2 linked regions of the Danio rerio genome follow. The protein of the gene in region 1 purifies or fractionates together with the protein of each later gene. This does not show direct contact. Links are inferred from orthologs where the notes say so. Each region holds a gene or a part of one and is shown in the gene's direction. Other genes may lie near its edges. The genes, in order: zgc:110269 and rad1.

What was found.
Region 2: the proteins of zgc:110269 (region 1) and rad1 purify together in Homo sapiens (affinity purification with western blotting; 3 studies listed by BioGRID). This does not show direct contact. The link is inferred for Danio rerio from reciprocal best matches to the Homo sapiens genes FEN1 and RAD1.

Annotation. Positions count from the first base shown.
Region 1 is NC_133177.1:18,816,716-18,821,063, forward strand, and holds the start of zgc:110269 (probable flap endonuclease 1 homolog), read left to right. Parts: upstream 1-1,254; 5' UTR 1,255-1,358; coding exon 1,359-1,440; intron 1,441-2,914; coding exon 2,915-2,990; intron 2,991-3,618; coding exon 3,619-3,721; intron 3,722-3,861; coding exon 3,862-3,916; intron 3,917-4,348. Other genes in the region: serine/threonine-protein kinase ATR, read right to left, coding at 737-828, 938-993. UniProt on the Homo sapiens protein: Structure-specific nuclease with 5'-flap endonuclease and 5'-3' exonuclease activities involved in DNA replication and repair.
Region 2 is NC_133190.1:26,248,678-26,253,040, reverse strand, and holds the start of rad1 (cell cycle checkpoint protein RAD1), read left to right. Parts: upstream 1-1,498; 5' UTR 1,499-1,561; intron 1,562-2,194; 5' UTR 2,195-2,204; coding exon 2,205-2,399; intron 2,400-2,482; coding exon 2,483-2,591; intron 2,592-2,665; coding exon 2,666-2,924; intron 2,925-4,216; coding exon 4,217-4,315; intron 4,316-4,363. UniProt on the Homo sapiens protein: Component of the 9-1-1 cell-cycle checkpoint response complex that plays a major role in DNA repair. The 9-1-1 complex is recruited to DNA lesion upon damage by the RAD17-replication factor C (RFC) clamp loader complex.

The DNA of each region.
Region 1 (4,348 bases):
TGTCCCATAAATTTAATTTGGTGGCATAATATCCTATACCAGTGGTTCTCAAACTGTGGTACGTGTACCAATAGTGGTACGCAGGCTTCCTTCTAGTGGTACGTGGAGGAATAAAATATGTCATGTACATGCTATACACATTTCAAAATTTTTCAAAAATTATGTAAATAATATGCCATATGTGACATTTAGCCTATATTTCTGAGGTAATCTGCCACATTTTTTTTTTTACTTTGCAGAGTTGTAGCTGCTTTACTGGGTCTACTACGCTACTGTATTTCAATACTGCTCATTTTTGTGGTACTTGGAGAGACAATTTTTTTCTGAGGTGGTACTTGATGAAAAAAAGTTTGAGAACCACTGTCCTATACTATACATATATTAAGTTACACTGAAATAAAATACCTCGACTATAAAGCTGTACATACAATTGAAATAAAAAACACACTCTGAAAGCCATTTGACAAGCATTATTTAGAAGTTTCATCTAACATGTAATATAATTATTAGCATTTATAACTATTAGCATATAAAAAACATAAATCATCCACAGAGGACTTTACATTAAGATTTTTCAGTATTTCTCGGGTTTTATGTAAAGTCAACTACAAGCTTATAGCTTTACTTTCATTCAGCTTGGTTTGAAAAAGCACAAGTGTTAGTAAATAATGACAGAACTTTCATGTAAGAACAACTATTCTCAACAAACCCCAAAATACAGTTTATTGTTTCTTACCGACATCAACATCTGTCAATATCCTGTCAATGAACTGACAAAGTATCTGACGAGGTTTCTGCACTGCCTGGTTGTACTCAACCGAACTGGCACTGGAAAACACAAAACAAGCCTTGTGTTTGATTTATTCTTTAATAACGTTAGTCATGTTAAAGACACTTTAAAAAAATAATAGTCGCTGTTAGCAGCCATTGACGTTACCTTGCTAATTCTTGCAGTGCAGGAATCATTGCTGACATTTCTAGTCCTTGCTCCATCTTTACTTGGTAAATGAGTTCTTATTATTTGCAAAAAAAAAGTTTAGGTCGTGTTGACCTAATGAAACATTTAGAATAATGTGAGCCTGCCCATCCTCTGCTTCTTCCCCACGCGCATCACTTTCAAAACTCTTTTCGCACTTTCGCCGTCTACTACGGCAAGTGAGTTGGGTCAGTCTGTTGTAAGCAAAGGAAGTCTTGAAACGATTTGATGACGTATGTCGAAGTACCCTATCAGTACCATGTTACCATGGAAACATCGTGAGACCCTGGCACGATGCGGAAATGAAGCTGTGTGTGCGATGAATGACCAAAACAACAGTTCATCGAGCACTATTTACTGCTAAAAACGCTGCTAATTTAATATGGGGATTACAAAATTAGCGCATTTAATTCATTTCGACGCACCAGCGTCAATGCGCAGCAAAGAGATCGGCGATTATTCTGGTAAGATTAATGCATTGAAGTTATAATGTAGTTAAACGTTAACAATAAGGATTCAGACATATATATATATATATATATATATATATATATATATATATATATATATATATATATATATATATATATATATATATATATATATATATAGTGATTTGGGGGCCCTAAACTGTTCCAGCCATGGGGCCCAACAGTCCTAAAATGCATCCTGTAGTTTTATTAACTTTTTAAAATTTATTTAGCTGTTTTTTCCCTATATCACTGAATCTTCTTTTTCATGTTTTATCTAAATTAAATCTCTACATTTTAAGTGATTTTTTTAAATGTACAAAAAAAATCGAAAATAATGAATTGTTTAAAAAACTAAATCTTTATCTGACTTGACTGCTCTGTGATTGGGGGTGTAAGAAACATTTGGGTTATTTCTGCTGGCAAAACCTTTAGGATTAACATTTTTATAAAGCACATGAATAATGTTTTAGTTTAGAATTAGTTTCTTATAATCAGTATTTAGTGAATATATTTAAAATGTCACCAATGGGTTGTATTCACTGTGTAAAACATATGGATAAGTTGGTGGTTCATTACGCTGTGGCAACCCCAGATTAATAAAAAGGGACTAAGCCGAAAAGAAAATGAATAAATAAATGAATGAATGAATTGTTCATCAATATTTTAGAAAACAAGACTTCATATATTTTATCATTTTGCTTCTCAAGTAAATGCATCTTGATTGAATGAATTTTTAAGGTATTTGTACTGTGAGGCAACAAATGATTTAATAAAGAACCTATTTTTTAGGTACTGCGAGGTAGAAGTATATTGGAAAATTTGTAGAAAGTATTGCTAATGCAACTTATTTTGTGGTTCATAGATATTTACATTTTTAAAACATGGTGATGGATTGTGTTGTGTCAATGTATTCTATGGTCTTTAATGTGGCCTTTTAAATGAACTTTCATAAAACCTGTAGAACTAAAACCTTCAGAATAATAAATTATGTGCTCTATTTAATTATTTATTGTTTATTTGTTTGTTTGTTTGTTTATTCTAATCAATTTAATAATTATTAAGATAAAACAATAATATTTTACAATAATACTTATATTTAGTTTTATCCTAGTTATTTATTTCATAATTTTAAACAAATTGTGGATAACATATTATATATTCTAATCTTATTTATTCATTGTATAATCAGTATGCTATTATAATTTAATTCTAAATATTTGTTTAATTTATACTAATGTTTGTTTATTGTGTCATTTATTTATCTTAATAAAATGTGTGATCGTTCAGTTTTGTTTTTGATACTTTTTTGCCATTTTTATTCTTTATCTTCAAACTTTCCACTCACCTTGTAGCACTTCCTTGCAGCTTTTTAGCTTTAAAAAACCCTGTTCTTCTCAGAATTGTCTCTTTTCTGTTATATTTACCCAAAATAAACTGTATTAAATGTCATTTATCTGTGATTCAGGTAAGATTATCGCACTAGATACATCTATTGTGGTGAATCAGTTCCGTTCAGCTCTCCCTGGCCATCTGAAACTAAGGTCAGTTCAATTCATTTTTTGTATTGCCCTTCTAGGGCTGGGCGATTAATTAAAAGGTCATTGAAATCAACATTCAGAACCCATAATCGATCAAATTTTTCAAGGTCATTTTTTTCAATTACGTTCTCTACCATGTGTAGAGTCAAGGGTTCGCGGCCACATCTGATCTTGGGTCAAGTAAGACGATGGAACTGTTATTGAGCCTTACTTTGCACTACAGTGACAATGATTGGGAGCTGCGTCAGAGATGCCTTGAGCCGGCATATTTTCCATTCATTTAAAATAATTATTTACATTAAAATAGAAGATGCAATAAATGCACTGTTTAAAATATTATTAATGTTGTAATAAATATTAATGTTAATTAATGTTGTAATAAATATATAATAAATATTGTAATATGTGAGCTTATTTCTTGTACAAAACTTGTCAGTGAACTATATGAATAAAACATGAATTAATAATCAATTAATAATTAATAATTAATGAATAAATTAAATAATTGTTCATGAATAGTTATTGAGTTAAACTGTTTAATTAATTGGGATTTAGATTTTCGGCCAAATTGCCCAGCTCTTTATTCCATGTTATATGTTTCTGTTTACAAAATGAATATCTATTGTTGCAGTCCCCTCGCTGGCTTGTTTTACCGCACTCTTGCTTTCCTGGAGCATGACATCAAGCCTGTCTTTGTACTTGATGGAAAGCCACCCCATCAAAAGAGAGCTGTGGTGAGATTCAGACTTCTGTTGAATAGTTATATATATATATATATATATATATATATATATATATATATATATATATATATATATATATATATATATATACATATAATTAGTTTGTATTTAGTAAAACGTTATTTTTTTAGCTGGAGAAAAGAGCTCAAAGCACAGGCTGGAGCAGCTCACAGAGCCCCAACACAGGTAAATATGTGGCTTCAACACTGTTGCAACTGGATCTGTGAAAAATGTATATTTTAAATGTTTCCTCATATACTCAGTCGATAAGTTTGGAGCTGGTTATATTTGTTCACGGCTTTGTTGTTGTTGTTTTTTTTTTTCAAGCTATTTTATGCTTACAGGGGCTGCATTGTTTTAATCACTACCATAGTATTTTAGAATATTATTACATCATACCATAGCTAACTGTTTTCTATTTGAATATATTTTAAAATGCAATTTATTCTATACATTTTATTATGATGCATTAAATTTCTAATATGTCTTTTTTAATAATCTTTGATAATATAAAGTTCAGAAGTACTTGTAACATTATAAATGCATTTATGAGCAATACAATTATTTGCAGAAGAACAAAAATATAGAATTTTTAATGAAAATAATAATATATTTGTA
Region 2 (4,363 bases), on another chromosome or scaffold:
ATGGATTCATTTGAACTTTTTAGTCTGATTTGTTAACTGCTCCTAAATATTTGAAAAATAAATATTGTGTTCAAAGGGGGGAAAGTTTTAGTTTTTTACCCAGACATTTAAAAAGAATATATTTCAGAGCAGTAATCTTAATACCGTGAAACTGATATTTTTTATTCATGGTTTTCATACTGTCAGAATCCTATACCGGCCCATGCCTAACTACACCATCTATGTTTTTAAGAGAATCTCCATACAATCATTGTATGCAACCTGGAGCTTATGGACACTTTATTTAATTATACCACAGAGGAGCTGTGTATAAAGAACTGCAATAAGTTCTAAAGAGGTTTAACTTTTAACCTGCTCCGAAAACTTTCTCCCTAGCAAATTTGCTTCAACATATAACTTTAAACGTTCCCTGTACATGTACTTTTTATCACTCATATCTTCTGTAATGACATGCCCTAAATATTTAACAGCCTTACTAGCATTTAAATTTTGCCGTGACATCATGTAAACACTCCTTTTTAACCTAACCTTTTTTATTATATTGCACATCATAGTTCTCTCTCTCTCTCATATATATATATATATATATATATATATATATATATATATATATATATATATATATATATATATATATAAACTTATTTTTATCACATGTTAAAGCAACTCTTTATTCCACCACACGAAGATAATACAATATAACGTGATAAATGCTTTAGCAATGATAAACAAAACAATCTGATTCCATCATGACAATCTCTTGCAATAAAGCATATCCCAATTCACAATGAGCTAGCTAACGGATTAGCTAGTTAACGTAGCAGGTTCATTTGAAGTAACGTTACATGAAACTACCACAGTCGTTACATTGCACCAACCACGTAAGCGTAGAGTATGTTTACTTAAAAGAAGAGGTAGAGATGCTATTGTTCACAAAATTCGCTTTGTTGCTGATATGGTCTGGTTGCCATTGAGATAGATAAACACAAACAAACAAACAAACCAGCTGGGAACTCCACAATCTTATTAAACTGTATATACAATATTTACAATTACTGAACAAAATGGCACTTTATAAAGTAAAATAAACTAGTAAATGTCATAACCCTACCTGACTTTTGTTTGGTTATGTGGCACTTCTGTTGGACCGACCGACCGCTTCCTCGCATCTGTCTGGCGACGGCCCGTCCAACTCGTGATGAAACGGAGGGGTGTACGAGTGCATCTTAAATATATTTATGTTTGAGATCTCGCCTTCTTTAAATTAAATAAACACCCTTATGTCTCATAAATAACTGAATAAGCGGTTATGTTATCTGTTTTGCAATAGTGTAGTAACACAAATTCATAGCCAACTTTAAAAACCTACCCCCTCCTAATACTGTAAACGTTTATGTATGAACTCGTCCTGCAGTTCTGCATCAGACCCATATGCGCGCGCGAGACAACTGATGGGAAGCTAAACTTAGTCAAAATCACAAGAAGAAGAGCTAATGGCAACAATTTAAGGGCGCCAAACTCTAAAATGATATTAATTTGTCATATTTCATATATCTAACAGGTGAGTTCAGCAACAGGAACATGTACTGTGTATGTTTAATGTTCGCCCTTTCACGGCCTGACGCCATTTTAGCTAACTAACTTAGTAACGTTAGTAACTTACAACTAGTTGCCAATATTATGTTTATTAATTCTCGTCACAATTTGTAAACAGCTGATAGAAACTTGTTCATGTTTCTGTTAAAGACATTTTCAAGTTCATTAGAAAAATTAACATTCAGATATCTCGTTTTTTTAATAAAAGACGGCGACAATACATTTTTCTGTGTTTAACTTGTTTTTAATTGTTATGGATTCCATATTTTAGTATTATAATTGACAATTATGATTATGTTTGCATTCAAAATAGAACATAGTAGCCATTCTAGCACACATTTAAACAACATTAGTTTTACTTACAAAACAAGTTAGAAAAAATAGTACAAAACAAATATGAAAATGTTAAAACTTCAATCTGATATGCAAATTTGATGTTTTTTTTTTTCCATTTAACGATTGTTATCTGTAAACTATTGGACCAAATACTGCCTACATTCTTTAATTAAATTTAATATTTTAACTTTTCTGTGAATTTATTGTATACAATATTTACTACTTATTTATTTAACATTTCTACTTTGAAATGTCATTACAGATGTAATAACATGCCTCTGTCAACTCAGTCCCAATCCGATGTTGACCAGTACATCCTGATAGCCAGTTTGGACAATGCAAGGAATCTGTCCAACATCCTAAAAGCCATCTCTTTCAAGGATCATGCCATCTTCAATGCAACACAGAATGGGTTGAAAGTCACAGTTGAGGACTCCAAATGCCTTCAGGCCAATGCATTCATTCAGGTTGATGTTAGCAGACAAATTCAGACACTTTCTGCTGAGAACAGTTGAATCTTTAAGCATATTTGTGTATTTTCTGACATCAGGCTGACATCTTTCAAGAATACATCATCAAAGAGGATGCAGTTGGCTTTCAGGTTAACTTAACTGTTCTTCTCGATTGCCTCACCATCTTCGGGGGAAGCACAGTGCCAGGTGTGTATTACAATTGTGATCCAGTCTTTTTTTGGGAAATGTAACATAATCTTTGTTTTTATTTTATCATTAAGGTGTGTGCACCGCCTTGAGAATGTGCTACAATGGATATGGATATCCACTAACTTTGTTCCTGGAAGAAGGTGGTGTGGTCACTGTATGCAAGATTAACACACAGGAGCCCGAGGAGCCCATAGACTTTGACTTTTGCAGTACAAACGTGACCAACAAGGTGATTCTGCAGTCGGACAGTCTTAAAGAGGCTTTCTCTGAGCTGGACATGACCAGTGAGGTTCTGCAGATTACCATGTCACCGAGCCATCCTTACTTCAGGTACAGTAGTTATGAACATGACATGTTTGAAGTGGTTTAAATAAGGGATGTCCAGATCACGTTTTTTTTTTTGTTTTTGCCTCCGAGTCATTTGATTTTGAGTATCTGCCAATACCGAAACTCGATCTGATACTTTTATAATGCATTAAAAAAATAAAGAAGAGCAAAGAAATAAATCCAGTATGTTCCTTATTTTTTATTTAGTTCACTGTATTTTAACATTTAACAAAGATCACTTCTGTGAGGTAGCTTGAACAATCAAGTAATAAGTAACATAAATTCTTCACTTTTGGACTTAAGTGCAACATTAAATATTTAAAAAATCTAATATTAAACCAAAAAGCACCTTATCTTAAAATACTCAGCAGGCAACGCTGCTGTTTCTGTGTGAAGTTAAGAAAGAGGTCTAACTCTGTGACATCGCATAACAATATATGTGTTAAAAAAAAACAAATATATATATATATATATATATATATATATATATATATATATATATATATATATATATATATATATATATATATATTGATCTTGACATCTCTAATTTAAATGTTTATTTTTTTTCCATCTGATAAAAAAATGCTTACAAGGTTTCTTTTATTTTTATAAAAAATTGAAAAATCACAGTACATTTGTGAAATCTTCCCACAATTTACAGTATGTGTTTGCATTGTGATATTTAAGAATGCTGTTCAGTCCTGTGATGGCAAAGCTCAACTTCCAGCACAATGTGTCCAGTCTTCCACATCTCATGATCCTCCAGAAATCATTCAAATGCACTGATTTCCTATTTAAGAACAGTATAAGATTTTTTAGAAATGGTTATTGATACAGTTTTTGTTTAATGGAAAGCTCAAATGAAAAGCATTTATTTGAGGATAACGTTATTTATTTTGATAAATGCAGGTCAGAATATGTTTTCCACTTTTAAACCTTTGGTGATATGATATAAGCATTCAGGGTTTTTTTAACAAATGAAAAAAACAAACAAAAAAATTTGCGGTTTGTTTTTTATTTATTTATTATTAACTAATTTAATGCATTTTAATTAATTTATTTATTTGAATATATGGTTCAAATAGAAAAATAATAAATGTAATTTTATATAATGTAGGTTAAGTGTTTATGTTATTAATTCATATAATTTTGTGAAAAATATTTATTTTTGACTCAGAATAAAAGCAGGACACATTTATATGTGCAAGGAAAAATGATCTGAAGCTGCTTTGTACTTTTTTTGCTTTCGTGCTTGTAAAAGCTTTTAAAAACATTTTTCCTTTTCTTCCTAGATTATCCACATTTGGTAATTCTGGAAATGCCCATTATGATTATCCCAAGGACTCAGACATGATGGAGCTGTTCCAGTGTACAAAAATACAGACCAACAGGTAGCAAAACAGACTAACTTTTCACAGTTGCCTTTTGGTTCTCTTTTT